4 linked regions of the Nothobranchius furzeri genome follow. The protein of the gene in region 1 binds, or shares a complex with, the protein of each later gene. Links are inferred from orthologs where the notes say so. Each region holds a gene or a part of one and is shown in the gene's direction. Other genes may lie near its edges.

Region 1 (7,344 bases):
GGTAGAAACTGGATCGTTTTTGTGCTCCTTCTGGGTGTGTAAGTTAAGGGCATCAGGGAAGCCCGACAACCTTTAAGGAGAACCACATTGCTCTCCTGTAATTTGAACCCAGTATCCGAGTCCGGATCGGGGCTTGGATCGGGAAGTAAAGCCCGAGTCCCGATCGAGTCTGAAACCACGTGATCAGGGCCGATTTCCGATCATGTGATCGGATCGGGACATCCCTAGTTTTTGTCCAAACAAGGACTGTTGTAGATGTGGTTCGTGTTCCTCAGAAATCGGCGATCCGGACAGGATCGGATTTCTGGTGTCGGTGTCGCTGCTCAGTACGGTTCAGAGAGCGAGGATGACCCTGTGCTTTCAGGTACGTCTCTATTATCACAATAGTCTTTAAAAAAGGAGAAATCGTGCTCGTCTGCTAACAAATACGGGTTTCTTTAAATGTTTCCAGGGTCTGTTTGCTATGACGAGGGAGAGTCGGAGGCTGAGAGCCAGAGTTCAAGCATGGAGATGAGCAACCCAATCTTCCAGCTGTATGAAGCCGTGAGGGGTGCCAGAAACAGCCAGGGACAAGTCTTCTCTGAACCTTTTCAGCAGCTGCCATCTCGCCGAGAGTATCCTGATTACTATCAGCAGATCAAACAGCCCATTTCCCTGACACAAATCAGGTGACAGTAACACTTTGAAATTGCTTTAAAATGAGTTGTATTTTAAAAAAACCCAAAACTAAACCACTCATCAAAGAGTTCAGACGTTTGAGATGCCTTTGTGACTTTCAGGGCAAGGATGAAGAGCGGCGAGTATGAAACCGTGGAGCAGATGGAGGCGGACCTATCAATGATGTTTGAGAATGCAAAGCGCTACAACATGCCCAACTCCAGCATCTACAAACGGGCCTTCAGGTTGCAGCAGATAATGCAGGCGAGGACAGGGAAACTTTTACTTTTTAAATATCTGCTGGAATATTTTGTTTTTGATTATTCAGTCTCTAAATTCTTTAAATGGTTTAGTTATTTTATGTTTTTTTTTTTTTCTTTAAAGGTGAAGAAGAGGGAGCTTCTGAGGAGGGACGAAGACGATGGAGACAGCATTTTGTCGTCCGATGCGGGGAGTGTCAAGAAGAAAAGGTTTGAAGTGAAACCATGAAGCCTTTTTGTGTTGCTTATTTATTTATTTATTTGTTTATTTATTTATTTATTTATTTATTATGTCCAGCCACAAGAAAAATGTAAAAAAGAATCGAATGAAAGCGCTCTTTGCTGCCGTGACTGATGCCAGGGAGGTGGGGTCCAGTCGGCGTCTCTGTGATCTTTTCATGGTGAAGCCATCCAAGAAGGACTACCCCGACTATTATAACGTCATCCTGGAGCCGATGGACCTTAAAACTATTGAGTACAACATTCGTAACGAACGCTACGCTACAGAAGAGGCGCTCATGGACGACATGAAGCGGATGTTCCGAAATGCCCGGCATTACAACGAGGAGGGGTCTCAGGTCGGCAGCGGGACTTTTATTTTGTGAAAAAAAATGAACGAAAAGAATTTCAGAAGAAGTCCATGTGACACCCGGCTTTTGTTTCTGCAGGTTTATAATGACGCAGATGTTTTGGAGAAGATTTTAAAAGACAAGCGTAAGGAGTTGGGACCTCCACCGGAGGAGGAGGACGTGGGATCACCAAAACCGAAAATCCGTAAGTGTTACTGGTGTAGTGAGTTTACTCAAGTCTGGATGTTTGTTTTAAATAATTAGAATGTTATTTCCTGTTTAACTGTAGCAAACTAACAAATAAAAGGTTTTGTAAATCTGAAACCACGTTACGCGCACACGTTGCATAGCTTTTATGTAGCTGTTAAAAATGGTTTGTCTGGAATCTGTTTTTTTTTAATTCTGTCTCTTTTTAGGAAAAAGTGGCGTTTCTCCAAAGAAGTCCAAATACCTAACTCCTCTCCAGCAGAAGTTAAACGAGCTCTACGATGCCGTGCGAAACTTCACCGACAGCCGAGGTCGGCGCTTGAGCACGATCTTTCTCCGTCTGCCCTCTCGCGCCGAGCTGCCCGACTACTACGCCACCATCAAGCGACCAATCGAAATGGATCGCGTGCGAAGCCATTTGGCGGCAGGCCGGTACCAAGACGTGGACGCTTTGGTGGAGGACTTTGCCCTCATGTTCCACAACGCCTGCGTCTACAACGAGCCTGAGTCTCTGATCTATCGGGATGCTCTGGTGTTACACCGAGTGCTGCTGGAGACACGGAAGCAGCAGGAGCGAGGAGAGGATTCGGGTCCTCCCGCTGTGGGACTCCTGGTGCGAGAGCTCATCAGGAATCTGTTTGTGTCCATGATGGGTCACCAGGACGAGGAGGGTCGCTGCTACAGTGACTCGCTGGCTGAAGTCCCAGCTGTGGATCCAGCTGCCCCCGAAAAGCCGCCTCTCAACTTCGATATAATCAGGATGAACGTGGAGCGAGGACGCTACAGGAGACTGGACGTCTTCCAGGAGCACGTGTTTGAGATGCTGGAGAAAGCAAGAAGGCTGCACCGGTAGGGAAGCTCATCTGAGAAGCTCTTTATTCAGTAAAGACAGAAACACAAAACTTAGGGAATGGAAAACAGATTTTACACAGGATAGATGGAATAGCTATAAACTGTAGTACCTTACCACAATCGGTCTTATTTTCACTAGAGCGAGTGAAGCTTGGCTCACACACAGGAAGATCCAAACTCAGCCTTTAGTGTCGTTTCGCTGATAGGATCCAGAAAACGGTTACCAAACTTTTATAGTGCATTAATTATAACAAAATCCTTTATTTGATGTATTCCAGCTTGTTTATCTACGTTTTTGGTCATAGGATCTAAAGGTAGACCGATAGAATCGGCTTTACATCGGCCTGATATATCAGGCACATCTTCGGGCAGCCCGATGCTGCTACAGCATTTAATTTAAATGCAGTTGTATGTTCACTAATAACATCTGGATAATAAATACTGACAGTGCACAAAGTTAAAGAGACGATATGTAGTTTTTATCATTAATCTCTGGAAATATACGTCAAAATGTTGGAAAATACTGGCAGCTTTGTTACACGTAACCATAAAAACTGGGTCTTAAATACACGGGAGCGGGTCTAAGTCTCTGAGCGACGCCAAATTAGACGCCAAAATAAGGTAGCGACCTCTATTAGGATCTGCAGGCAGACGTGGTGATTGCGTAAGGCTTCGACATAATCACATACTTTATGTATTTACCAGATCAGCTTGGAAAAACGTAACTCTTGCAAAGCGAGCCGGTGAAACGTGCCTCTGTGTCTTCTCTGGGCTCGCAGGACCGACTCCGAGGTGTTTGACGATGCTGTGGAGCTTCAGCAGTTTTTCATCAAGATCAGAGACGAGCTTTGTAAGAACGGAGAGATTTTGCTCTCCTCCGCGCTCAACTACACCGTCAAGCACCTGCACAGCGACGTGGATCAGGAGAAGAGGGAGAAAATTCCCCGAGAGGTCGAGGAGGATAAGAAGAATTTAGAGGAGGAGAAGAAAGGTTTGGAAAACATTTGGCACAAAACGTTGGGTGTGGAGAGTGTCGCACGTGTCGCTGAACTTTCACGTTCCTCACTTTTAGAAGAGAAGAAAGCAGAGGAGTTGCCAGAAGAGGAGTGGCAGCCTGAGTCTGAGTCTCAGCGTGTCTACGTGCAGGTCTGCAGCTTTGAAAACGTCACCTACCACGTAGGAGACTTCGTTTATGTGGAGCCGTCGGAGCCCAACCTGAAGCCTCACATTGTTTGTATCGAGCGTCTGTGGGAGAACGAAGCGGGTAACCGAGCCTTTACCTGTTAACTGTTTGTTTCTCTCTTATAAATCTGTGTCTTAAGCTTTGTATAAAATCACTTTTTGTGTGTGTCTGAAGGTGAGAAGTGGCTCTATGGCTGCTGGTTCTACAGGCCCAGTGAAACTTTTCACCTGGCCACTCGCAAGTTTCTGGAGAAGGAGGTGTTCAAGAGCGACTACTACAACAAAGTGTCCTTCAGTAAAGTTCTGGGCAGATGTGTTGTGGTTTTTGTGAAGGCAAGACTCTCCTTTAAACTCAACGCCCGACGTAAGTGACTTGTTTTCTGTAGACACGAGAATTCGAACCTCTTTCTGGTTTCTGTAGGATTATTTCAGAATGCAGCCTGAAGGTTTTAAAGCCGAGGACGTGTTCGTGTGCGAGTCACGCTACACGGCCAGAAATAAGATCTTCAAGAAGATCAAGATCTGGGCCATGCCTGAGAGTTCAGCGCAGATGGTTCCGCGAGAGGTTCCCCTTCCAGTGGTCCGTGTTGCTTCCATGTTTGCCAAACCGGACCTGGAAAAGTTGATGCTTTCATTCTCGGATGGTGGCAGTTTTGTGGACAAGGTGAGGTGACGTTACATAATAGTTGGTCTGTTTGATGTTTACAGAAATGGATTAATCGACCTTTAGTCTTTGTTTACTTGTATTTATCCAATAGGAATCAAGCTTAAGCTACTTTTACTTTCAATGAAGTCTTGAAGATAATAAAAAATATTTTTTTGTTTGTTGGATTATACCAGACGTCACAAATAAACTACTATCAGAGGTGCAGCAGGAGATGTTCTTCTGGAGCATCTTTAGCCATATTGTTTGAAATGCTCCACACACCAATGCCGACTAATAATCTAAACGTTTTGTCAAAAAATGAATCATTTTAATTTACCCTGAAGGGTACGGTCCTGGAAAATCCTCATCCAATCATTGTTCTTCATGATTTGATCGTGGTCTTTCCATCAAGCTGCTCCTCTGAGGTTTTCCCAGACTGTCTGTGGCGCTGAGCTGCTGTGATTTTACAGTTAAAAACAAACAAGATTGCTAAAAATTCCTTTTTTTTTTTTGCCCAACACTAACTTAGCTAGCGTACGTAGTCGTATATGGTTATGTAGGTGTGTTATGCTACGAATTAAGGCAGAAAATGGACCAACTGAACCTTATGCCTTCTTTTCTTCTGGAGGCGTGGCCGATGGGAGAAAGGGGGTTGGACCTCAGAGTTGTGTTAATTCAAAGAGCAGCTTGCACAAATAGCCAGAAAAGTATCTGGTGATGCACCTTAAACTCCACAAGTCCTGCAAAACTGGACTGCTAGACTAACAGTTGCAATCCTTAGAGGTTTATCGCTCAAGACAAATGGTGTCACTTTGCCATTACTACGGGGTATTAATTAAATGATCATCTGGTAGAATACAAGTCCTGACAGAGCTGAGTGGCACGTTTCGAGGGTATCTAAATGTAAACACTCCTCCTGTGTGGTGATGTGAATTCGTTTAGGAGAAGGAAGACGTCCCGATGGAGACGAGCGGGTCAGAACCTGGCTGCCAGCACTATGAACAGCTGCGCTTCAACAGCTCCTGGTTTAAAGTGGGCGACTTCGTTTACATCCGGTCCCACGGCCTGTCCAAACCTCGGGTTGCCAGGTGGGTTAGGAGGACTTAATAAAACGGTGCTGGTGCTGTTTTGGGTTTGATCGTCCTCTGGTTGCTCTGCAGGATGGAGAAGCTGTGGGTCCAGAATGGAGCCACCTTCTTCTTTGGACCCATTTTCATTCACCCTGAAGAAACGGAGCACGAACCCACAAAGATGTTCTACAAGAAAGAAGTGTTTCTGAGTCAGCTGGAGGAGACCTTGCCCCTGACCTGTGTCATAGGTATTACTAAATCGTTCTCTTTAATTAAATAATGACGTGTGTGTGTGTGTGTGTGTGTGTGTGTGTGTGTGTGTGTGTGTGTGTGTGTGTGTGTGTGTGTGTGTGTGTGTGTGTGTGTGTGTGTGTGTGTGTGTGTGTGTGTGTGTGTGTGTGTGTGTGTGTGTGTGTGTGTGTGTTGGGAACCTTTTGATGGCTTAGTATATTAAAACCAGCATTAAATGTTGCATAAGGTTAAGAAGTGGTCTGACATTTAAAGCTAATTAAAGGGAGTTTTCTCAGATGTGAAACGATCTCTGTAGGGTGCCGCTTCTCAGATTCAGTTAAAATGACAGATTTTATCCTTTCAACAGTTTAATTAAGCTCAATTCTGCCCACAGGCAAATGTGTGGTCTCCTCTTTTAAGGACTACCTGTCCTGCAGACCAACCGAGTTTTCTGAGGATGACGTCCTGCTGTGTGAGAGTCGTTACATCGAAGCCGAGAAGCAAATGAAAAAGTTCAAGGGCCTGAAACGCTTCTCGTATTCCTCCAAAGTGGTGGAAGATGAGATCTATTACTTCAGGTGTGAACGGGATTATTTTTGACGTAAAACGGAATCTTTTCCCTCCCCATCCTGGTTTGTCTTTACTTTTGTTTGGGTGCGATTTGTAGGAAATTAATTGTGCCGCAAAAGGAGGCGTCACCCATTTTGGACAAGAAGATAGACGAGCTCGAGGTTAAGCTGGCAGACCTGGAGGATGGCGATGATGACATGGAAGAAATGGAGGATGACGAGGAAGCTCCATCCACACCTTCTTTGCCTCAGGTGCAAACTCCTCTCTCCAACGACATGGACGCGATGTCCTACACGCCTTCTCAGGTATCGGAGACCAACTGAAATCTTGTTTTTAACGGTTCCACACAGCTACTGCTTCTGTTATAATCTATACGACGTGTGTGTTTTGTCACTCGTGAAGTCCACCCCTAAGATGAAGGGTTTAGCTAAGAAGGAAGGAGCCAAGCGGAAGATCAACATGAGCGGGTATATCCTGTTCAGCAGCGAGATGCGAGCTGTCATCAAAGCTCGACACCCCGACTTCTCCTTTGGGGAGCTGAGTCGACTCGTAGGAACGGAGTGGAGAAACCTTGAGGCTTCCAAAAAAGCGGATTACGAAGGTGACTTGAAGTCATTCAACGACTAAATTCAATTTTTTTGTGTGAATTTAAGCGAAGTGATTTTTTGCGTTTCAGAGCGCGCAGCCCGAATAGTGGAACAGTCGGAGCGCGAGAGGCCGTTCTTCAAGCACGGTTCCCCCAGAGCAGGTACCCCCGTAGGGGCGCTGATGGGGGTGGTGCCTTTGCCTAGCACTATGGGAATGATAAACCACACACCTGTGTCAGGTAACCCCTCAGAGAGACATAACCAGTGTTTGACTACAAGACAGCAGGGAAGTGAAGCTGGACTAGAACCATAATCCTTTCATTTTCTAACCTGTTTAAACTCCTAAACCACTTCTTTTCTTCTGTTGATGCCATTTACGTTTTAATTATTGTCTTTACATAAACTGCACGGTTGCATGATTCATATTTTTTTAACCATGAATGCATTTTGTTTTAAGTTTCCATTTAATATTTTGGAGTTTTTTCTTTTTTACACTCATATGTTTTTCAACCA
Region 2 (7,773 bases), about 7.2 Mb from region 1:
CTAAATTGCTGGAACATCCACCACTAATCACTGCAAGCAGCTGGTTGTAATTTATGGAGGGGGTGCAAGAAAATCTCTGTTTGTTGTTATGCTTTAATGAAATGTGTTTTGCTGCTGATTTCATCCTTATCTGACATTTAAATCTTGCTGTCTGCTGTCACTGAACACTCACACACTTACACACAAGTTAGAGGTAATGCCCTCCTAATCCTTTTATTGCTTCTTATTATTGACTTGAACACGGATATTACACCCCTGATGAGGTGGGCTTTGTTTTGTTGTTTCCAATACCATAATGTTTGAGAAATAAATACGTAGATTATGGGTAAGTTTGAGTAAACTGTCTCTTTTATCAGTGCCACTGTTTGTATTCACACACTTTTTTTCTTTGAGGTTTCAAGTGCCATGAAAATGTTTGGATTTAGCACGAAATAAAGTGGTAAAATTACTTAAATGCATGTAAATATATAAAAATATAAAATTCCCATCTTACCCTCTGCGGGTGATCTCTTCCATCCAAGCTCGGGTCCTCTAGGGGCCTGGGAGCTTGAGGGCTCTGCGCAGTATCTTAGCTGTTCCTAGAACTGCACTTTTCTGTATGTGTGTGTGTATATATATATATATAATATATTTTACATATATATATATATATATATATATATATATATATATATATATATATATTGGATGGAATTATGATTAAATAATTAGAAATAATTAATATGTTAAACATTTACCACTTGAGCCAGAGCAGCCTCCATTTGGGGAGCAAAAAAGTTAAGCATCCAATCTTATGGCCTATATATCAATAAATTAAGCTACACCTCTGTAAAAACTGCTGAGCCTGGGCTACGCAACTAAATAAATCTTTTTTTATGTGCTCTAAACACAACTTAAACTACAAGTAAATGAATCATGACAAATTGCTCTTCAAGAAGAAAAGAAACTTTATTGTTATGTTTTGTAGTAGGTAGAAAACAGGCAGTGACTTTATCCACATGAACCTTATTACAGCAGGAGGGACAAGCGTACATGCAGCATTCATCTTGTGACCCTCAGCAGAACTTCCTCTGAACTCTACACCACACCTCTATTTATATTAACTGTGATCTGCTGCCACCTAGTGTTCAGTTCTGTACACAGCATTGCAATGTGCCATGTTCATTTACGCTTTGTAAAAAAAATCCCATAATTGTTATCTTCATAGTGAGACAAAAGTAGTCAAATATATCTTGTGATTACAGAAATGTGCTTGTTAAAGAGTGGCTATGTTATCCATGGCTCACTAATTTTATTTTTAATGAAATAAATTTTGGGGGGGCAAATTGTCTTAAATGATTAAAATGTGATTAATCAAGATTAATTAATTACAAAATGTCTGATTAATTAGATATTTTTTAATTGAGTCCCACCCATAATATATATATATATATATATATATATATATATATATATATTCCCAGTGTCCACAGATTTGTCTTTCTCAGCCCATAAACGATGCATCCCATTTGATTTGATTTGAAATTCTACTTATTTCGCAGTTTTGCTCCAAATACTGGAGTTGCTTGTTAAATTTGAGCTATGCTGACCCAAAATAGCCACTTCTGACCCTGAGATTTTTCATTTGCACTGGGGCTATTTTGGATTTCTGCTCACTAGCGACTGTACGGTACAGAAATTAATTTTTGATCCGGCTTCGCCTGTGTGACCGATCAGTCACGTTTCTGGTATAAATTTATCCTGTCAGATCTTTCCATGCAATTAGAGAGCTCAGCCGTTTGTCATTGATAAGGCTGTGGCAGCTCCTCTGGGCTACACTTTACATTCAGCTCATTAAGAGGATAAATTATTGTCATGCAGTCAAGTTTGATACCACTGAAAGATGCCGTATTAGCTGTCAGACTTCAGCCTGCCTCATTTGGCCTCTTGTGTGTTTAAGTAATGACCATTTTTTCAATTAGTTGTTATTAAACACATTTAGAAGCCTGTAGGATAAGCCTGTTCGTGCACCAAGGTATAAAGCCCAAAATGAAAATTATAATTACAGTGTAGATGCTTTTAGATGTCCAAAAACACATGCCCCCCCCCCCCCCCCCCCCCGGGCAGCCAGCAATCTGTTTCTGATCCAACACAAAGAGATTATGCAAACAAATGGTGCCCCATGTTTTGTGCTGCCGATTCTCCATACTGAACAGAGAAAGTGTAACATCATCAAAAGTTGGGGGAAAAAATACATAAACTGTTGTGAATTTTTGCAGGACCGTAGCTCAAAACATTTAAAACTTTGCTCATCTTAGGATCTCTGCATCTGCATACAATCAACAAGCATTCAAAGAGGATCATGAGTCAACTGAAAAACCTCATGGAGGCACCGCAGATTCAGATCACCTCTCAGACACGGAAGCAGTTGGCTCACTAATTTATGTTCCCCTGCTGTGATGAAAGGAGATGTGGTGTATAATTTGTGTGATGTTCCTAAACAGAGGGAGATGGTGCGACTTGCAGTTCATGAACTTCTGATAAAAATTAAAAAAGAACTAATTACTGCAGTCTGTAATGTTTTGATATTTTTCACATTTCAGCATGTATTTTCTCGTTGAATAAAAGTTACGCATCTGCTGATGCTCATGTGTTGCATGTCAAAGTGATTAATTTGTAAATTAATGCAGCTTATTTCAGTTTTATGAGACAAATGGGACAAAATCACTCAAAATACCATTCTTATCTGTGCTTTTCTTCTACTTTAAAGTAAAATCTCTTTTCTTACGGTATTTTCAGTAAAAGTTCCAGAATATGTTGTTTTGGTTTAAAAATATTCTGCAGACTTTGTAGATGTCATAGATGTTACAGATATGTGAGCGAAGTTAGAATGGGTTTTTATTAAATTTTTGGTCTTGCAGGAAGCAATTGAAATGATGCTAAATTTGTATAGTGGACACTTTTTTCAGAGCTCCAGAAACAACATTTGGATCAATTGAACACACCAATTAAAATACAAAAACAATAAAAATAAGTTTTTAGTATGCTTAAAAATGCAAAATTAAGCATGTAGTTGTTTTCTGCACCACTTTGGGCTACAACGCTTCTAATTTATTTATTTATCAGGCTTCATGGATGGTTGAAAGACTATCATCAGCATCTCAATAGAAAAGCTAATTTATTTGTTACCAGATGTGAGCAGCAGATAGCGCTGTTTCATCTCCAACTCTCCCCATTGAGCTTGTTCTCGCGTTAGCTTCGTGCTTCCACCGGCGGCGACACTCAGAGAGGAGATGGCGGCCAGAGGGGGGTTTCAATCTGCTCCGACGGGTGGTGGCGGTGGAGCAATGGGCCCTGGACCGCCAGCAACCGGTGCAGGACCAGGTATGGGCCCCGGTACTCCCTCTGGAAGAATGGGGCCTTCGTCAGCCGCGCAGAACCACATGTACCGCTCTCCGATGCCCGGGCCTGGGTATCCGGTGAGTTCTCGTTCCATGTTTGCTGCTGACGCGTTAGCTTGTTCGCTAGAACAAAGCCCCTCATCGCTCCTTTGTTGCTACTGGCCAACGTTGTTTCTGTTTCTCCATGAGGACCAAAGCTGTGACTAACTCTCAGGCTGGTTGAATAGAGTCAGTCTATCCCAAAACTTATTTTAGCCACTTCCCTTGAGTTACCATCGGTGTGTTTGAATTTGCTAACCCATCCCGCCCGCAAACGTTAAAGTTTTAGTAAGCAGCTAGTTAGCTCATCATGCTAACGTTGCTAATTTGCTCTGTAGTTTGAATAAAAGCACTCCGAGAGGGCTCGAGTAGTGTAGGAAAATTCACAAAAAGTGAGTTTGTTACGTTTGAAAGTCCCAATTCGATTAGGTTTGGGATTTTCTATTTATTAGATGTCTTAAAATCAAAAGTCTGCTTTTGAATGAAAAGTTTACACTGATAAGAAACCATCAGTTTTCCAGACGGAAAAAACTAAATAAGAATAAAGCCTCAAATTCCGTTTTAATGCGTGAAGTTTGTGCTTTTGATCTAATAATATACTGGAAATAATTTGTCACTGATGGATTTTGTACTTTAAAAATATTCTAGTTAAACTTTCAAGCCTCACCTTTATTCTAAATTCTGATTTTCAGATCAGACTAGTGCTACTTAATCATGAGTTAAAGAACAAAAGTTTTCCAGATGTACTATAGTTACAATAAAACTAAAATAATAGTTTAGTCCCGCGATCAAGAAAGTCAAAATATTTCCACCAAAGGACACAAGCCAGCTGAGCAAAGTTTTTCTTTAAATGACAAAGGTAATGTTTTGTGTGTTTGTGCAGACTGATGTTTCAATTTAACTTTTAATATGCAGATGTCTGTTGAAACTACTATCTGATAGGTTTAACTCATGTAATTGGAGTATCAGTTAAAGGTTTTGATCATTCATTTAATCAACTAGCTCAACCTCCTGAGCTACTGTTGCAACAACGAATTGGGGAAAAAAATTGATTAAGAAATGCATTAGCAATGCAGTTCATCATCACTTTGTTGTGTTGTGCAGCTTTTTTAATTTATTTTTTTCATGTAGTGCAACCTTTTTTTTAACAGTCAACGTGTGTGCAGCTTATGGGGGGGGGGGGGGAATTTATGTAACTCTTCTGTTTAGATGTAATAAAAGCTTGAAATTATGAATGATTGGGGGCGTGTCCTTTTGATGGACAAGTAGCAGAGGGCTAGGGGTGGTCGGCGCTAGGGGCTTCCCTCCTGCTTGCTCCAGGGAAAGCTTCAGTCTGCCTTACCTTAACCCTCCCACTGTCCTAATGGGTGTGACCCCATGAGGAAAGTTGACCATTGAGCAGGGTTGATGGTTTATCCCTTGGGTCCATGTGGCATGGGCGACTAGTGACCACCACCTCACCACTGCCACGTGGACTTCAAGGGATAAACAATCAATTCTGCTCAACGGTCAACTTTCCTCGTGGGGTCACCCATTAAGACAGTGGGAGGGTTAAAAGTGTTAGCTTGTCCTGCCAGGGTTGGTCGATTTGTCATGATGACATCAACAAACAAAATAGTCATCAATAAACTTAATAGTCTACGTTGTTTATTCTACGCATTGTTTTAATCTTACCTGCTTCAGCAGTACCACTGCTGCTTGCGGTCTTTCTGTTCGAGGCACGTGCGCAGTAGCGGCCATTCGGGTGAGCCATTGCATCACCGGAAAAACAAGACATGGCGACCTGCAATGTAGCACAAAGTTTGAAAGCATTTTACAAAAATAAGCATGTACAGTGCAAAGTCTGCAAAGTAGGACTTCTTTCACAAGAAGATAATGCTGATGAACGAACGCCTTAAAAGGAAGCACGTCGTGGCAGAGAACAAAGGGGGACAGTCGCCTCTTTAAGCTAATTGCCCCTCGTTAGCTGCTAACATCATCAGGGACAGTGTTTCCCCTAGGAATTTTTCCAGCTGTGGTGGAGGTGGTGTTGGCGGGGGGGGGGGGGGACTATGACACGTCTCACCTTTATGTTAATATTGTTTTATTTGATGCACTCCACTTTGAACTGCACCAGTCCAGCGACTGCTGCAGTGTAATAACTAGTATTAAAGGTGAATACACCAATATTTGCACAAGAATAATTTCTGTTTTAAACTCTCAGTGACACACTTTGCAGGGTGGATTTGGCATTTAATTTTTCTTGGCGTCTGGAAAAACATCTTCTTTTTCCCCCTTTATTTGACTTTCTGCCCCCTTTATTTTGGTCCAAGACCATTACTGGGCTGGCCCTCTTAAACGCGTTCTACACCCCTGCTTAGTAGAATTAATGAAGTATTTTTAAGCCAGTATAAAAATGACTGAAACACAAATTTACATATTTGGCATTATTGACCAATATTTTTGATTTAATTTATTTGTTAAGAACATCAAGATGCATTACAGTGAACATTATAATAAGCTGGGCGGACACTGTGCGACTTTTTCACTCGTAACACAGCTTCAGCTCAAACTGTACGACTTCAGCGCAGGGCAGATCTCACGAGTCATGTGCTCACTGTACATCTGGTAGCAACACATCGGACCTAAAATATGCTAAAAATAGCAGTTTTTACACAACACGTCAGACTTTTTTGTCTTGTTTTGCCTGTTGTCCTTCAGGAGTGCTGCAGGAGGACACACAGGGATTTATGGGGGTTGGATGAGGAAAACGAAATAAAGTAAATCTGTGTTTTGTGATCAGTTTAATTTGACATGATCACGACAAACACACTTTCTTGACAATCATTGTGAGTAAAAAAACGTGTAGAAATAAAAACGAACGTGTGTTATTGGGGAAATAGCGGGTGAGCGGAGTTGATGCAGGATTGCGAATGCGCCGTGAGCGGTTCTGATACTTTTTGGGTTGCAGCTGCTCGCTGCGCCGCTTCAACCCTCATGAGGAACGAGATAAATATCAAACACTCCAGAAGTCCGTGCGAGCTCACGATTGCTGATCGGTAGCTGGTCACGTGGTGTTAATCGCCTCTCGTAACCCCCTGTACACTACACGACGCTCGGCGCAAAACTCGCCCCGATCTTGTGGATTCTCGCACGAGTGGAAAATCTGCTCAAAAAAGTGAAAAAGTCGCACAGTGTACACCCGGCTTTACTGTCTGTGTGTGTGCGTTGATGCCTGGGCCGAGCTGACTGAGCTCCCGGCTGCAGTTTTGTGTGTAGGGAGGGGCGGGCGCTCTATCTGACTGGCCAATCACAGAGCGTGAAGACAGTCAGTTACCCAATGAGGATTTCATTCAGCACGATTACAGATATTTACACAGTAAATACACAGTAGTTCCCGCTGCTTCTTCGGGAAACGGCGCAAAAAAAAAAAAACATCACTTGGGATGTTGTAGGCGTGGCGGTGGGATTTCAGCCGTGGCGGGCCGCCACGGCTACGCCTATGTAAGGGAAACCCTGCCTTCACTAACCAGCTAACTACCAACCTTTCCACTAACTTGTCCTGCGTAACCCTCACCATGTAACCCTCATGTCCATGCTGTCTCTGGAGTAGCAGAGGGGAAACAAGACCTCCTGTAATCTAAAATGAACCAAAGCTTCTTCCCAGTTTTTTTTTTTTACTGAACTTAACATCAGTTTATCATCATGAAACAAAAGAATAAAGTGGAACAAAAACTTCTATCTTCTATTTCTCTCTCCTTTTAACTTATCCGTGTCCCTTAATAAGAGACAGACGATTACGCTGCAGCCGCTGTCACTGTTAAGGTCACTGTTATGGCCAATAACCGATATTTGCTGATACCTATATACTGACATTAATGCTTCTAAAATCAGCAGATTTTGTATAAAATGAAAATGATTAAAACTGAATTTACATTGTTATGTACACACAACCCACACATTTACGGTTCTGAGATTATTACAATCACCGTCGCGTGACTAAACAATTACACATCACCCCCTCACCCTCTGAAACGGGCAAACAAATGGAGATGAGATGGAAAAAACATTGGTTGTTAATATTGGCCCAGTTTTTTTTTTTTTTTTTTTTATCAGGCCGATACCGATATGTTAAAAAATGACTAACATCGGCTGATACTAGGGATGCTCCGATCAGGTTTTAATCTGCCGATCACTGATACCGATCAGCCAAGAGGCTGATCATGGCCGATCAGCCGATTACCGATACCAATTACATAGATTGGCTGTAAATTGTTCATTTAGCTATGGTGAGTTGTAATGCATGTTACATATTAATTCAGAAAAAACATGGTTTTACTTCACTTCAAATTATGTAATATCAGTAACAATTTAT
Region 3 (7,904 bases), about 16 Mb from region 1:
GATGACATTATGGATGATGTTCAAACAGATGATAGGAGCTTTATTTTGTAAATAGAAAAAATAAAAGAGGTGGTGGTGTTGCCTTGTTCATTAAATCAGATCTGAAGTGTAAATTAGTAGTAGAAATGATAGTGATGGAGGACAGTGTTATAGAAATGGTGACAGTGGAAATTACTAATGAAAATGCTAAAACTATTTTTATTTGCTGCGTCTACAGGGCACCTGGGCCTTGTGTCATGCAATTTACTGACAAGATGATGGAGCTGGTTGATCAAATTAGAAACAAAACCTGGTTAATGTGTGGAGATTTTACTGTTAATTTAGAAAATCCTGAGGAACTAAGAATATCAATGGACTTTGTTGATTTAATGTATTTAGGTTTATTCCCCCTGATTAATAAACCAACCAGAATCACATCTCACAGTGCTACGATCCTTGATAATATTTTCACAAACAAAAAGTATGATGTTATGAGGAGTGGGATACTGATGACAGATATTAGTGACCATTTACCTGGTTTTGCTATATTTAAATATAAACATTTGTAAAATAAATATATTGCTATCAATTGCAAAATAAATAAGTCTGTTAAAGCACTGGAAGCACTAAAAAAAAGATCTTAATAAACAAAACTGGAAAGAAGTACATGTCAGTCATGTCAATACTGCATATATATCTTTTATGAAATTATTGATGGAATCATATAATAAAAATTGTAAGTTGATAAAAAGTCATGGTAAAAGGAAAAACCAGTCATGTATGACTAAAGGAATAAAAAATGCTTGTGCAAAGAAAAATAAATTGTATAGGTGTTTCTTAAAATTGCAAACAAAAGAAGCTGAAGGCAAATATAAAAAATATTAAAATAAAATAACGATAATTAGGAAACAAAAAAGAATTACTGTGGTGAACTATTGAATAAGAATAAAGATAACATAAAAGCTACATGAGGGATAATAAATAGTGTGACAAATAAAGATAAAACAAAATCAGTAATTCCTGATTACTTTGTCAAGGAGAATAAATGACTTTTTTGTAAATGTAGGTGCGAATTTGGCAGGTAACAAACCAATAATAGAAGTTAAACTGAAGACAGTAGTTTATAATGTTAATAGTATTTTCCTTGACAAGGTAGAAAAAGTAGAAATAACAAATATTGTAAAAAACTGTGGAAACAAACAATCAACTGATTATGAGGACTTGGATATGATGACTGTAAAAGCTATAGTAGAATCTGTTATTGACCCGTTTACTTATATCTGCAATCTGTCACTTTCAACAGGAATTTTCCCTGACACAATGAAAATTGGTAAGGTGGTTCCATTGTTTAAGGGTGGGGATAAACACAATTTCTCCAATTACAGGCCAGTGTCACTGCTTCCACAGTTTTCCATAATAATAGAAAAAGTATTTGTATCAAGGTTGGATAAATTCATTGAAGAAAATAATATTTCAAATAATGAACAGTATGGTTTTAGGACCAAACATTCAACAGCAATGGCAATAATGGAACTAATAGACAAAATATCTACAGCAATAGACAATAAAAACTACTTCATCAGTAAATTTGTTGACTTGAAGAAAGCTTTTGATGTTATCGATCACTCGAGGTTACTTCAGAAATTACATCAGTATGGAATAAGAGGTGTGACGCATCAATGGGTTAGAAGTTATTTAGAGAATAGAAAACTATTTGTCCAACTAAACAACACTAAATCAGAACTGCAAGAGATTGATTATGGTGTGCCACAGGGATCGGTCCTTGGACCTAAACTGTTCATACTATTTATTAATGATTTTGTAAGTGTATCTAAGCTGCTCGGTACTGTTTTATTTGCTGATGACACAACATTGTTCTATTCAGGGTCGGATATTAATGAAGTAGCTAGAGTGTTAAATGATGAACTGATAAAAGTTAAAAACTGGTTTGACATAAACAGACTTTCACTGAATCTTAATAAAACAAATTTTATATTGTTTGATGACAGAGTCAACAAAGATGTAACAATAAAAATAAATGGAATGAACATTCAAAGGGTGAAAGAAATGAGATTTTTAGGAGTCATGTTTGATAAAGCTATCACCTGGAAGTCACACATAGGTTATATCAGAGGTAAAATTGCCAAAGCCATTGCAGTACTACATAAAGTTAAGTTTTTACTGAATAGTTCTGATTGCTGACTTAGTATAACTCACTAATTGTTCCATATTTGAATTACTGTGTAGAAATATGGGGATCCACATGTAAAACTCATACACAACCACTCTTTATTCTACAGAAAAGAGCATTGAGAATCATTAATAACAATCACTATGGAGATCCATCCAATCCGTTATTCATCAAATATAAACTAATGAAATTTTATGATCTAGTGAAAATGAAAATATTGCAAACAATGTATAAAGCTAAAACCAATACGTTACCCACCAACATTCAGAAAATGTTTGAAAAAAGAGTCAGTAATTATTTCTTAAAGGAACTGAAGTATTTAAAAAAACGAAATTTAGAACCAGAATGAAAGAAATGACTATCTCTGTAAATGGCGTGAAGAAGAAGAAGAAAATATCATTTCTATAGCGCCTCTCAAGATAAAAATCATGAGGCGCTTCACAAAAACAAAAACTATAAAAAATTGTAAAAATATAAAAAATCACTTAGAAAATGTTTAAAAATATATTTAAAGTGAGCAAGAATAAGCAATTGAGAATATGGAACAACCTTAGCAAAGACATAAAAGAATCAAAGTCACTAAATATATTAAAAAAATGTATCAAATCAAGTGTATTACAGAACTACAATAACCTAAATTAAGTTGGTGTCTGATTAGGTCTGTAAGTTACAAGAATATATAATGAATCTGTGTTTTGTTTTGTTGTTTATTGAGAATTGTATGGAAGCATTATTAAAAAGTTTGGTTTGTCAATAGGGGTAGATAATGTAAGATATTTCTTCCTTCTGCCCCTTTTCATTCAAATTGTTTGGTGTTCATGTTTATGCATGTTTTTGTATGTTTTTTGTATATATATATATATTTTGACACTTTGAATGAAACAAAGAGAAAAAAATTATAATTATCAACAAATAATAGAAAAAATGGCTACTACAAATTTCAAAATGACTAAAAGTAAGTGGATTGTTTGTGTATGTGTGAATATAGTAATTATATTTGTTTTATTATTGGGTTTCTGGATAAAATGGGCTATAAAAAAAGCACAAATGGGAACATACATGAAATGCACAGTTTTATGCCCTTCCAGATCAAGTCTGTATGTGCAAATGTATTTTATCAGCAATAAATCAACGCAGCTCCACCTATTAATAAAATCACGATTATAAAAAGTGTAAATTGTGCAACTACTTTCTTACAAGCTGAAAGCAGGTTTTAAACTATGTTGCAGGATAAATTATTATCTGCACAACTCTGCCCCCTGCTGCTCGTCTGCCGTCGACACAGCGCTTTGTGCTATCAAGCTATTGGAGAGACGCCCTCTGTCCGCCAGGAGGCAGCCAACACCGACTGGTAGTCTGCAGGCAAAGATGGCGGTGCGGAAGAAAGACGGCGGCCCCAATGTAAAATATTTCGAAGCATCTGACACCGTTTCGCAGTTTGATAATGTCCGCGTCTGGCTGGGCAAGAATTACAAAAAGGTACTGAGCGCATGTTTTATAAGCGTGCTCACGGAGCTTTCTTATTTTGCCCAGAAACGTACGCGCTTACCTATGGAGGCAGAGGCAGTGACAAAGAGAGGAGGGAGGGTGCTGCTGAGCGTCCAGCTGTTTGATTCACTAAAAAAGGATGCTGAGCCAACCGCAACATCAGACGCGGCCGCAAAAGTCGGTGTCTGTAGGTCTTGCTGTAGCCAAAAGGATCCAAAGACACCACACAGTCCCGCCGGAGGGAGCGGAGTTTAGAAAAAGAGATATTTTTGGCAAAGCAGGCTAGCTAAGCTAATCGGCTAACGGTAACGCGGCTCACATCCAGATGTTGGCTGTGTGGCGCGCCTCTGGCTCTGGAGTCATGAGCGGTGTTAAATAACACTGACCAGCGCTTTATCACGTAGATTTAACAAAACATGGTGTTAATGATCAAAAAAGTCACAAGTATCCATTCATTAATGATGGATAATTGTGGAATTAATCACATTTTATTTAAAAAGATCTAAAGCTTTTTACGAAAGAAATCTAGTTTTCCTTGTCCACCGAAGTCTCCATTATCCAGTTACAATAACACACTTTAATAATGACTAGAATAAGAAACAAACAAATACACATATGTGAACACTGCTCATGTGTATAAAAGAATGCAGAGATTTAGGCAATAGACAGTTAATGAGATAGGATTCACAAAAGGACGATGGAATAAATGCTTTATTTATATAGTGTTGCTAATGTATAAAACACCCATATGAAGCGAGGAATGAGAAATATACTGAGTTTACCCAGCAATAATACTATATAAACTGATAAACATACAGATCCATCTACATTATTTACACCCATAAATAAAAGATGCATACACAGGAATAGTGATAAAAGTGAAACTTCCAGAGTTCCCATAAGTTTTTCCCATCTCCCCAGTACATCCAGGCCGAGCCCCCCACCAACAAATCCCTGTCCAGCCTGGTGGTCCAGCTGCTCCAGTTCCAGGAGGAGGTGTTTGGCAGACATGTCAGCAACCCTCCCCTCACTAAGCTGCCGGTATGTCACACTTATTTACCCCCACCCCTCTCTCTAACAGATTACTCACCCCTTTGCCCTCAGGCGATGTAATATGAAGCTGTTTTATTTTCTTTCTGCAGATGAAGTGTTTTCTAGACTTTAAATCAGGGGGGGCTCTCTGCCACATTCTGGCTGCTGCCTACAAGTTCAAGAGTGACCAAGGATGGTAAGAGCTTCTTTCTGACTGGTCTCATCATGCATCTTGAGTGAAATAAAAGTGGCAGTGCTCTGCTGCATTTAGGCTGTCCTGCTGTTTTGTGTGTAACTCCAGTTTAATTTCCTGGTAGGCGCAGGTTTGACTTCCAGAATCCATCGAGGATGGACCGAAATGTGGAAATGTTCATGACAATTGAGAAATCTTTAGTACAGGTGAGTTTTTCTCACTGATTTTATTCACCGTTAAGCTTTTAAAACTCATTCCTTGGACAGTTATGCTGTAATAATTGTTTTTCATCTTTGTCAGATAATTGTGGGGTTTTTCTGATTTATTCTAAACATTTAAACATTGAGGTTTTTGTTTCTTTTGTGTTTCTGCGAGTAGCCGATCTAAATAGGTTATCTGTGCTGGGAACGCTGCTTGTCTCCTGTTTTTACATCACGTTTAGGAAGTGTCTTTAGAATCAGAGTGGTGAGATTTAAAGATAGAAATAACAAAAGACAGCCTTTTCTCTGAATCAGACACACTTAAATGCTCATTTATAGGATTTGAACCATAAAACTAGAGTTACAACTTGAGCTGGTTCTCCTTGATTCTTGTAGAACAACTGCCTGAGCCGACCCATCATCTACCTGAGTTCTGACATTGAACCGAAGCTGCTTGGAAAACTGAAAGACATCATTAAAAGACATCAGGTTGGTTTTTGCATAGTTTTTTTTAAACAAAAGTGTTATTCTGCTGTGCATGTATAATCCACACAGCCTTTTTGTGCTGCAGGGCTCCGTGACTGAAGACAAGGCTTCCAGCTCCCACGTTGTGGTTCCCATCCCCACCAGTCTGGAGGAAGGTGAAGCCTTGTTATGTTGCTCAGCTCGGGTTTCTTATGAATTCTGCTGCTTTTCCACTTTAGTTCTAATACAACATGATATTTGTTGGTCCAGAAGAGTGGGTGCGTCCTGTGATGAAGAGAGACAAGCAGGTCCTCCTCCACTGGGGATATTTTCCAGACAGGTTGGTTCTGACTTGGCGCTTCAAACACAGCAGCGGCACACGCGTTTTTACCATTGAATGAGTCCTAAACGGTCTTCTTTGTGAGCTCACTGAACCTACACATTGCTCCTTGTGTGGTATTCTCACAAGCCTTGATGTGTATTTTGTTCCCTTCTGTTGTTTTTAGTTATGACACGTGGATTCCTGCAAGTGAGATTGAAGCTGCAGTGGAGGATCCTCCGAGCCCAGAAAAGCCCAGGAAGGTCTTTATTAGTTTTATTTCTAATCATTAGTTACTCGTATATATATATATATATATATATATATATATATATATATATATATGTATGTATCTATATACATATATATATATATATATATATATATGTATATACATATATATATATATATGTATATACATATATATATATATATATATATATATATATATATATATATATATATATATATGTATATACATATATATATATATATATATATGTATATACATATGTATATACATACATATATATGTATATATATATAAATATATATATATATATATATATATATATATATATATATATACATATATATATATGTATATATATATATTGCCTGTGCCCACCTTTTCAGTGGTGTTTGCACTAAGTAAAGCAGTAGTTGTCGGGAATACATTCCTTTTTTAAGAGTGCGGTATCACCACATGCTCATTCTACAATATGTCCAATGTTTGAATCTTCACAATCTAATAAGACGTGACTAAACTTACATAAACTCTCCAAGTGACTGTAGGTTTTGTTTTTAAATAGTTGCTCACTGAAAAACGTCTAAACGTTTCTGCTGGCAGGTCCACGCCAAGTGGATTCTGGACCTGGACCAGTATAACGAGTGGATGAACGAGGAGGACTACGAGGTGGGAGACGGTTGTCCCAAGAGGAAGAGGATCTCTGCTAAGACGCTGACGGATGAGGTGACCACACCAGATGAGCGGCGGGACAAGAAGCCCGGCAGTGCCAAGAAGAGGAAGCGCTCGCCCTCCCCCTCCCCCACACCTCCCCCACAAGAGAGCAAAAAGAAGAACACCAAAAAAGGGTGGGCTATAACTCCTGCAGCTTACATGTTCTCCTCCTCTGACTGCGAGGAGGCACGGCTGGTTTGGCTGTTGAAAACTAGCCTTGTTGTTGTTTGTGTTAACAGACCCACAACCCCATACACCAAGTCTAAACGAGGCCAGAGGGAGGAGGAGCAGGAGGATCTGTCCAAAGACCTGGACGAACCATCGCCTGTTCCAGCATCTGAAGAGGGAAACATGGCTAAAACCAGTATGCATTAATAAAAAATACACAAAATAATATATATATGTAGGGAACAGACTAACACGTCCATATTTCCTTCATAAATCTTAAGTGTGTTGTGTTTTAATGAGTTTTATTGTTTCTTTTAGTCTTCTTGTGCTAAATGAGTAAGTTTGACATTGCAGACAACACCAAGAAGGATTCTGACTCAACCCCTGTCAAAGGAGGGACAGACATGGGTGAGTTTGTTCAAACATCTATAAATCTTTTTTTTTCTTTAAAAGGTGTCACTAAAGCAGATAAAATAGCACCAAAGTAAAGGATCTAGCCTTTTACATAGTTGAAAGGCTCATATAATGTTCCTGTAAGTGTTTTTAAAATGTTTTTGTATACTTTTGAACAGATGAGCAGGAGGATGAGTCCATGGAAACCGCAGGAAAGGTATGGAAGCCTTTAAAGGTGAACGCAACAATAACGAATGATAATTAACGCTTATTGTTTGATCAGGAGGAGGAGGAAGGCTCTCCGAGTGTAAAGGGTGAACCTGTGAAGGGCTCCGACTTTCACGAGGACAACGTGACTGAGCAGACTCACCACATCATCATACCCAGCTACGCTGCCTGGTTCGACTACAACAGGTAAGGGAACTCATTCGTTTGTCTAGTTTCTAGTTTGGGTTTGAAAAAATGCTGCAAAGCTACAAAAAATACTAATAATGGTTTATTCTCTTTAGTGGAAG
Region 4 (7,344 bases), on another chromosome or scaffold:
CTGCGCACGCCGATATGTTCCGTATTTGATCATTTTTAACGGTGTTGGACGAATCTGAAGGTGGCGAGTCATTCTGGCAGATTGTAATTAACACCTGTCTCATGCAGGTGTTCTGACATTGTAAACCTCACACACAGAACATTGTGGATGTAACAAAATAACAAGAAATGATTCCCATTCAGGCTATTGACAGCGCGCTGAAGATCTGAAGTTCAGAGTGCGTCTGTCAGAGGTCAGACGTGTTCCAGCGGAACCACGGCTCACGGGTGCACATGTGAGCACATCTGGGCTGGGCAGAAGTTTAAATAGCGCCAATAACGAGACGCGCGCACACACACAGATTCAATAAGCACGCACGCTGCTTTAACTCTGGCGCGCCGTCAGACTGAAGGCAGAAATGAACGCTGCCTCCACCACGATAAAAACTTTTAAGAGGTTATTTTTCATTCAAGGTCAATTAAGATATTAGCTTCTGGGATGAGTCGGGTCCGCTACAGCCAGTGACTCCTCATGAACCTGACCACAAGTCCTGTTACTGCAGCATTTGCTATTCCAGTCCGCATGGCAGCGGATCGCAGATTCAGCCACACCATAAAACAGCAATAAGTCGGTCTGAGGTAAAAGTGAACATCATGGCTATATCTTGTCCCCTATTGACATTTGATTACGCACAAGTAGGTGATCAGCTCAGGTTTACGCAGAGCAGAAGGAAGGAGAGCGCTCTGGCCGCACAGGTTAAACGTTCCTACTTTAAGAAAACCGTTAAATTGCATTATTTATGTGCTACCTGGGCACTCTAAATATTTATTTAAAATGAAATCAAAGGAAATTGTAATGGTATCGAATGTTTAGTATTTACTATTTAAAAAATGAAAGTGATGGGGAATTTTTTTAACCCTGTCTGTTTAGCTTGACATCTGATATATATATATATATATATATATATATATATATATATATATATATATATATATATATAGAGAGAGAGAGAGAGAGAGAGAGAGAGAGAGAGAGAGAGAGAGAGAGAGAGAGAGAGAGCCATGCCCCGATATGTGTGTGTGTGTGTGTGGGGGGGGGGGGTGCATCGACATGGTCGGGACATAGAAGGGGGTGCGCGGCTAAATAAGTTTGGGAACCACTGGTCTAGGGTGATGAACCATATGATAGGTTAGCATCCTTTATGAGGTTGTTTGTGCTGCAGGAAAAGAACACTTTTATCGATATCTGCCTTACCCCTCATGAGCCCTTGCGTAAAATTTGCAACTGACCTCCAGTCTGGTGTTTATTAGGAATCATAGATGGATGATGCCATCTGTTCCTGGTAGTTCACATTTTAGGAGATTTTTAGAGACCTACATTATATGGGAACACCAGCTGTCATAGCTCAAATGGGATGTCGTTACAACCCCCTGACTACTGCAACAGAGGGATGTAGGATGGTATGGAAATCTGGTCAAAGCTAACGCACAGTAGCATTTTTAGCCACTTTATTAACTCTGTCTCATCCAATGGTGAGGCAAAGAACAATCTTTAAAGCTCCGAGGCTTATCAGTCGCTTCATCGTAATATACTTGGTCATGTTTTGTTGAAATAAGTGGGACACAATCTTATTTACTTAAAAGCAGACATAAAGTCAAGTCAAAGCCTTAAATCCCTCATCATTAAGCCTGGGTTTTAGTTTTCTACATCAGGTGAAATACAAGACCGGGTCCTCCATTGATGTACAGTGGTCCCTCGCTATAACGTGGTTCACGATCTGCAGTCTCGCAATTTTGCAAATTTTGTTTTGTGCAATTTTGCATGTATTTTTTTAACAAGGAATTGTGTTCTGCATCCAAAGGTACCAAGGTTTGAACTTTGACAGTATTTAAACAAGAGAGAAAGGTGTGAAAATGTTAATGCCTGTCTGAAGTGTACAAAGTGTGTAGTGAGGGGTTTTACTGCCTTAAAACATTGCAGAGTTGTGCTGGGACGAGCACGTCTGCGGTGGAGAGGATAGTGGCTGTGTCAGCGGGAGCGCGCTGTGCCATGACTGGAGCACATTAGTAATCAGCGTTCCTGCAGCTTTATATGCAGGAGGAAGAGACGCAAATCTCTACAACGAGAGCCTGAAACGCTGCCGTTAGTGTAAAACATGCATGCGTGCTAGAAATAAAACTGTTGAGAAACAGACATTCTGGTGTGTTTTTGTGTGTGGGACCCCAATAGTAGCTGCGTACGTTACAAACATCTATAATCATTGTAAAAAATGAAGCTAACTATTTTGCAGATTTCCCCAATTGCTGGTTATTTTTAGAATGTCACTCCAGTGATTACCAAGAGATACTTTACAGCAACCTGAAAGAAACTGAGCAGGGTTGACTTTTCACAGCAAAGAGAAACATCTGGAATAGGCTGACATCAGGCGTTGGTGGTATAGTGGTTAGCATAGCTGCCTTCCAAGCAGTTGACCCGGGTTCGATTCCCGGCCAACGCAGGTTTCTTTTAAACATTTTTCTGCAGGTTATTTTTAGAACGTAACTCCTTTGATTAACAAGGGACCACTGTGCAGCGAAGTGGAGTGGATGTTACAAACTTGTAGCTCTTGTAGCCACAAATGGAACTTTCAACATGTTCCCAAACTGTGGGAGTACATTTTCGTGGGGAAATGGTGATTAAGATTCCCTTGGAATGTCCAGATAAACTGCTAAAAGATTCAAAACCTCACCACGCAATCCAGTGGCTATGAGCTGCTTCTGGTATCTCACCAGATGTTGCACACATCATCGTTTCTACATGAGGGAGCCCAGGAATAAGGTGGATATGTCAGGAGAGACACCCCGGTTTATGAAGACAAAACCAGCACAGGCACAAGGATGAAGGGTGGACAGATCAACTATTGAATCTGTTCTAAAAAGAAAGGACATGCCAGTGAGCTCAGCAACTGCTGTCAGATCCACCTCTTGAAGAAAAAATAACTGAGCAGGGTTGACTTTTCACAGTGAATTGAAACATCTGGAATGTGCAAACATTAGGTGTTGGTGGTATAGTGGTTATCATAGCTGCCTTCCAAGCAGTTGACCTGGGTTTGATTCCCTGCCAATGCAGATTCTTTTTAAAGGTTTCCCTGCAGAGGGACGAATAAAGACTTATTCTGCTTCTACTAGAAAAAAGTTAATTTGGAAATTAGCTACAATTCACTTTGGAAAAATGAAACTGAGATGAACTTCAGGAAATCTGAGAGAATTGAGAAACTTTCATGATTCAGAGTTAAACACGTGGAGTCAGTGTGATACAATGGTTGTTCTTAGCTGCGGCTGTTAGCGGATGATGCGACAGGAGGCAGAAGCAGCCTGATAAACGTGTGACATAAAATAATCTGCTCAGATTGGGTCAGATGCAGTGAAGGTGACTGGATGGCCTCTGTCAGCACTGATAAAGAAGTTCAACAAGTTTTTCTTGACTTAGGAATGAAAGAATCTGCACCAACTTTCTCTTTTCATGTGAAAAAAAAAACTACAGCAGAAACATTCATGACTGCAAAAAAACTTTAATTTGGGCAAAGTGTTTAAAATATTAGGTAGCCTGTGACTGCAAATGATTATATCTTCTCAGGTGAACAACAATTTGACTGAAATGTTTTGTTCTAAATGAAATGTTTTTATTTTATTTATTTTTTTTTATTTTTTGCATGACTCAGCAAAAGCGAAAGCTTAGGATCTACATTTCCAACACTTTCACTCCCAGCAAACCTGACGGCGAGGAGGCAGAGAAAGTGTCCTCGTGGGAGCTGAGAGTGGAAGGCAAACTCCTGGAGGAGGTAAGAGGGCGTCTGAATGTTCTTGCTTTGTCTCACAATCGTCTCAATGTCTTCTGGCCCCAAATGTTTCAGCCTGTTGTTTTTCTGTAAACTTCAGTTGGCCTGTGTCCTTGGCTCAGACCACACAGCCAGATGTGTGTTTGCAACACACACACACAAGCTCATGTTGAAATAGAGAATTGAAACCACTGGCCGTTGCATACCATGAGCTGATATTCCTCCCCTCCCTCCATCAATTCCAGCTCAGCTCATTGTGTCATCTGGGGCCACGGAAGATGGATGTTTTCTTCTTCTTTTTTTCCTGCTAATTTTTTCCCTCCTGCTCGTTGGGTTTGAGCATGTGTAGGAGCTCCACATGGAGCAGAGGCAAAAAGAAAAGGGGAAGGAGTGAAGGAGGTCGCATTGAGCAAACAGACTTTGACAGGGCCGCGGGGGGGTGGGGGGTGCAACAGCTTTTTCTACTCAACAGTTTGGTTCCTCACCCCTGATGTGGTCAGAGCTAAACAATGCAGCCCCAGACGAACTCTGCACAGCAAGGGAACACTCATGGTTATGTGTTTCTCTGTCTGTTGTATTTTCGTGTTTTCTGTGTTTTCAGCCTGGAAAGCAGAAAAGAAAGTTCTCCTCTTTCTTCAAAAGTCTTGTGATTGAGCTGGATAAGGAGCTTTATGGACCTGACAACCACTTAGTAGAGGTATGACAGGAGGAGGCGTGAAACAGCCCCGAACACTGTTGGTTAGGGTTAGGATGCTGTGTGAGCTCACACACAGTTCTATTTTCAGGACTTGACCAAAATGACTAAAACTTCCATCGTTTCTCGGCACAAGATGGTTTTAATTTAAAACTTGACATGAAGATGGCATTTAAAGGTGTGTTTTTATTGGTTTCTTCTCCAGTGGCATAGAATGCCCACCACTCAGGAGACAGACGGTTTCCAGGTCAAAAGACCCGGAGACGTGAACGTCAAATGCACTCTTCTGCTCATGCTGGACCACCAGGTACCTCCCTGCTAATAACACTGTTCTAAACCATCTGCATTATTTGACGATTTCACTAAGCTAACCTTGTTCCAACTTTAAACCTTTTGTCAGCCCCCTCAGTACAAACTGGACCCACGATTGGCCCGTCTCCTGGGCGTGCATACGCAGACTCGGGCCAGCATCATGCAAGCTCTCTGGCTCTATATCAAGAACAACAAGCTGCAGGACAGTCATGAGAAGGAGTACATCAACTGTAACCGCTATTTCAGACAGGTAAGCTCCCACTGGGAAGGGAATGAGACATGCTGGCATCATAGAAATGAAGTTTTGCTTGTTTTGTTTTCTATCCAATGTAAATATCTTAAATGTATCAATGAGCACAGTTTAAGTTTTACAACAAATTGATGTTAAAACACCAATAAATCAAATCTTGAAATAAATAGTTGACACCATCCAACTAATAACTGATCAGCTACATTATGACCTCACTTTGTCCCACTAAACCAGTTCTGATCCACTGGCATATGCCCTCCAGTCCCATCTAACCATTACAGTAGACACGTTTACATTATTGGAACTTCCAAGTAGTTTGACCAGACCTTTGTGTCATGCGCGTGTCTCCATTTCACCAGGCTGGCCAGATAGGACCATTTTCTGGGCCATTTCAGATACCTGAGCTGGGGTAGGTACTCGGCTGGTAGAGCCGCTGAGCGGGCTTGTTTTTAACTCACGCTGATTGGTTGTATTCGCCAAATAACTGGCCTTTTCAAAAATGGGAAGAGTTGTTGGTGAAGATGAGTGGAAGTGAAAGAAAGCAAACAGCATTAATGCTGCTTTGAAATTGCAGTTTCTGAAGGTTCAACGCATATAATGCAGTGGAAATCCCCCACAACGCCATTATCCACACTGCTTTGTCAAAAACAGCTTCTTCTGGTCATTGAACGGCACTTTTTACTTCACACAGCTGCTCTCCCCGTCCCCTAAACTCCTAAAATGGAAACAGGACTCATGTAGTCCTGGTCTTAGCTTTAGAGGGCTGGATATGAACTCTGATGGATTAGTTATCAGTGTTTTTTAACATCACCTGTCTTAAGTGCTAATGCGGTTTAATAAAATTGTGTTCAGATCTTCAGCTGTCCACGCATGAGGTTCAGTGAGATCCCCATGAAGCTGGCGGGCCTGCTGCAGCATCCTGACCCTATTATTATCAACCACATCATCAGGTAGGGTCTCATCTTACAGCTTCAGACAATCTCTGCTTTCAGACACACAGTGTCACCACACTTGGTGAATAAGGTTCATAGCTGCTCCTACAGTTAATAAACACAGATGTACGTAGAACCTTAGAAACACTTTCTATTTGGTTCTGAGCTGAGATAAGGTATAAACCCGTCCTGTAGTCACCACCAACTCCTTTGTTCCCTGAGCAGCGTGGATCCCACAGACCAGAAGAAAACAGCCTGCTATGATATTGACGTGGAGGTGGACGACCCTCTGAAAGCTCAGATGAACAGTTTTCTGTCCTCCACCACCAACCAACAGGAAATCGCTACTCTTGAGATGAAGGTCGGGTCTAATCTGGATTCATACTAAAATGAAACGAGCCTGTAGAAACCTGAAACGTCTTCCTTTGTTGTTTATGTTCAGATTCATGAAACAATTGAGTACATCAACCAGCTCAAGACTGAGAGAGACTTCATGCTGAGCTTCAGCAATAATCCACAAGAGTTCATCAAAGACTGGCTGAAGTCTCAGAGCAGAGATCTGAAGGTAAAGAAATGTCTGCTGCAACTACCATGTTATCGTGACTCTTTTGTCTTATTTTAGTCCCTCATTTCAGGACAAACTAAATAAAATGAAATGAAGTTGAGTTAAATAGCAGAGACAGGGTAAAATGAAGTTCCTATGTTTTTTTTTATCTGATTAAATCAAGTGTTTAGATCTTGACTCGTTTAGATTTCCTTTACGGCTTAGACGGCAAAAATATTTTAGTTTTCTGAACATTCTCCTTAACCTGGAAGTCAGGTTTTATTGGGTTTGTTTTTTTACTCCTTCGCCATAAGAGTTCAAATCTGTCCCACTGGAATCTGCAGTGTTTACTCATCATTAAATGTTGCTTAAGGTGATATTCATTATGGGGATTACAGCATTCTTACGTTTGTTTACATTATATAATGTGACACAATAGCACAGAACTCATTCTAACATATTTAGCCAGTAAACGGATGCACCTTGTTGCCGGCATGTGCTCAGAGAGCTAATCAGGAAGCATTCTGCTGCAGGTGGTGGAGGGTTGATCTCCTAAAGCGAGCCGAAACACGTCTAAAGATAAATGTTCCAGCCAGCAGTTAGAAATGATCAGATCAGAAGGATCTACATGTCTGGGTTCCTGTCAACACAGATTTCACCCCACCTTGTTTTTTTTAAATTTGTTTAAGAAGTCAAAGCTGTCCTCCCTCACCTGACATGGTTCATGGTTCGTTCAGAAGCCACAGCTTTGTTCTGTGTTCCTGTAGCTTTACAAACCTCCTGAGCCTTAAGCAACATCTCAGCAAGATGCAGTTG

What was found.
Region 2: pbrm1l (region 1) and smarcd1 share a complex: the UniProt entries of both Homo sapiens proteins name them as parts of the SWI/SNF-B (PBAF) chromatin remodeling complex. The link is inferred for Nothobranchius furzeri from reciprocal best matches to the Homo sapiens genes PBRM1 and SMARCD1.
Region 3: pbrm1l (region 1) and smarcc2 share a complex: the UniProt entries of both Homo sapiens proteins name them as parts of the SWI/SNF-B (PBAF) chromatin remodeling complex. The link is inferred for Nothobranchius furzeri from reciprocal best matches to the Homo sapiens genes PBRM1 and SMARCC2.
Region 4: pbrm1l (region 1) and smarcd2 share a complex: the UniProt entries of both Homo sapiens proteins name them as parts of the SWI/SNF-B (PBAF) chromatin remodeling complex. The link is inferred for Nothobranchius furzeri from reciprocal best matches to the Homo sapiens genes PBRM1 and SMARCD2.

What each region holds. Positions count from the first base shown.
Region 1 is NC_091743.1:66,061,097-66,068,440, reverse strand, and holds part of pbrm1l (polybromo 1, like), read left to right. Parts: intron 1-275; coding exon 276-364; intron 365-451; coding exon 452-668; intron 669-779; coding exon 780-921; intron 922-1,041; coding exon 1,042-1,127; intron 1,128-1,215; coding exon 1,216-1,495; intron 1,496-1,585; coding exon 1,586-1,691; intron 1,692-1,902; coding exon 1,903-2,542; intron 2,543-3,324; coding exon 3,325-3,536; intron 3,537-3,617; coding exon 3,618-3,809; intron 3,810-3,902; coding exon 3,903-4,060; intron 4,061-4,148; coding exon 4,149-4,391; intron 4,392-5,315; coding exon 5,316-5,461; intron 5,462-5,533; coding exon 5,534-5,691; intron 5,692-6,068; coding exon 6,069-6,252; intron 6,253-6,341; coding exon 6,342-6,549; intron 6,550-6,646; coding exon 6,647-6,845; intron 6,846-6,920; coding exon 6,921-7,070; intron 7,071-7,344. UniProt on the Homo sapiens protein: Involved in transcriptional activation and repression of select genes by chromatin remodeling (alteration of DNA-nucleosome topology). Required for the stability of the SWI/SNF chromatin remodeling complex SWI/SNF-B (PBAF).
Region 2 is NC_091743.1:58,865,835-58,873,607, reverse strand, and holds the start of smarcd1 (SWI/SNF-related matrix-associated actin-dependent regulator of chromatin subfamily D member 1), read left to right. Parts: upstream 1-3,229; 5' UTR 3,230-3,272; coding exon 3,273-3,458; intron 3,459-7,773. UniProt on the Homo sapiens protein: Involved in transcriptional activation and repression of select genes by chromatin remodeling (alteration of DNA-nucleosome topology).
Region 3 is NC_091743.1:50,343,963-50,351,866, forward strand, and holds the start of smarcc2 (SWI/SNF complex subunit SMARCC2), read left to right. Parts: upstream 1-3,489; 5' UTR 3,490-3,538; coding exon 3,539-3,649; intron 3,650-4,579; coding exon 4,580-4,699; intron 4,700-4,800; coding exon 4,801-4,886; intron 4,887-5,007; coding exon 5,008-5,089; intron 5,090-5,479; coding exon 5,480-5,572; intron 5,573-5,654; coding exon 5,655-5,724; intron 5,725-5,818; coding exon 5,819-5,888; intron 5,889-6,054; coding exon 6,055-6,130; intron 6,131-6,717; coding exon 6,718-6,962; intron 6,963-7,067; coding exon 7,068-7,192; intron 7,193-7,350; coding exon 7,351-7,404; intron 7,405-7,568; coding exon 7,569-7,606; intron 7,607-7,672; coding exon 7,673-7,803; intron 7,804-7,904. UniProt on the Homo sapiens protein: Involved in transcriptional activation and repression of select genes by chromatin remodeling (alteration of DNA-nucleosome topology).
Region 4 is NC_091756.1:35,527,021-35,534,364, forward strand, and holds part of smarcd2 (SWI/SNF-related matrix-associated actin-dependent regulator of chromatin subfamily D member 2), read left to right. Parts: intron 1-2,404; exon of another isoform or gene 2,405-2,476; intron 2,477-3,679; coding exon 3,680-3,799; intron 3,800-4,397; coding exon 4,398-4,493; intron 4,494-4,695; coding exon 4,696-4,797; intron 4,798-4,890; coding exon 4,891-5,052; intron 5,053-5,904; coding exon 5,905-6,002; intron 6,003-6,209; coding exon 6,210-6,345; intron 6,346-6,426; coding exon 6,427-6,549; intron 6,550-7,344. UniProt on the Homo sapiens protein: Involved in transcriptional activation and repression of select genes by chromatin remodeling (alteration of DNA-nucleosome topology).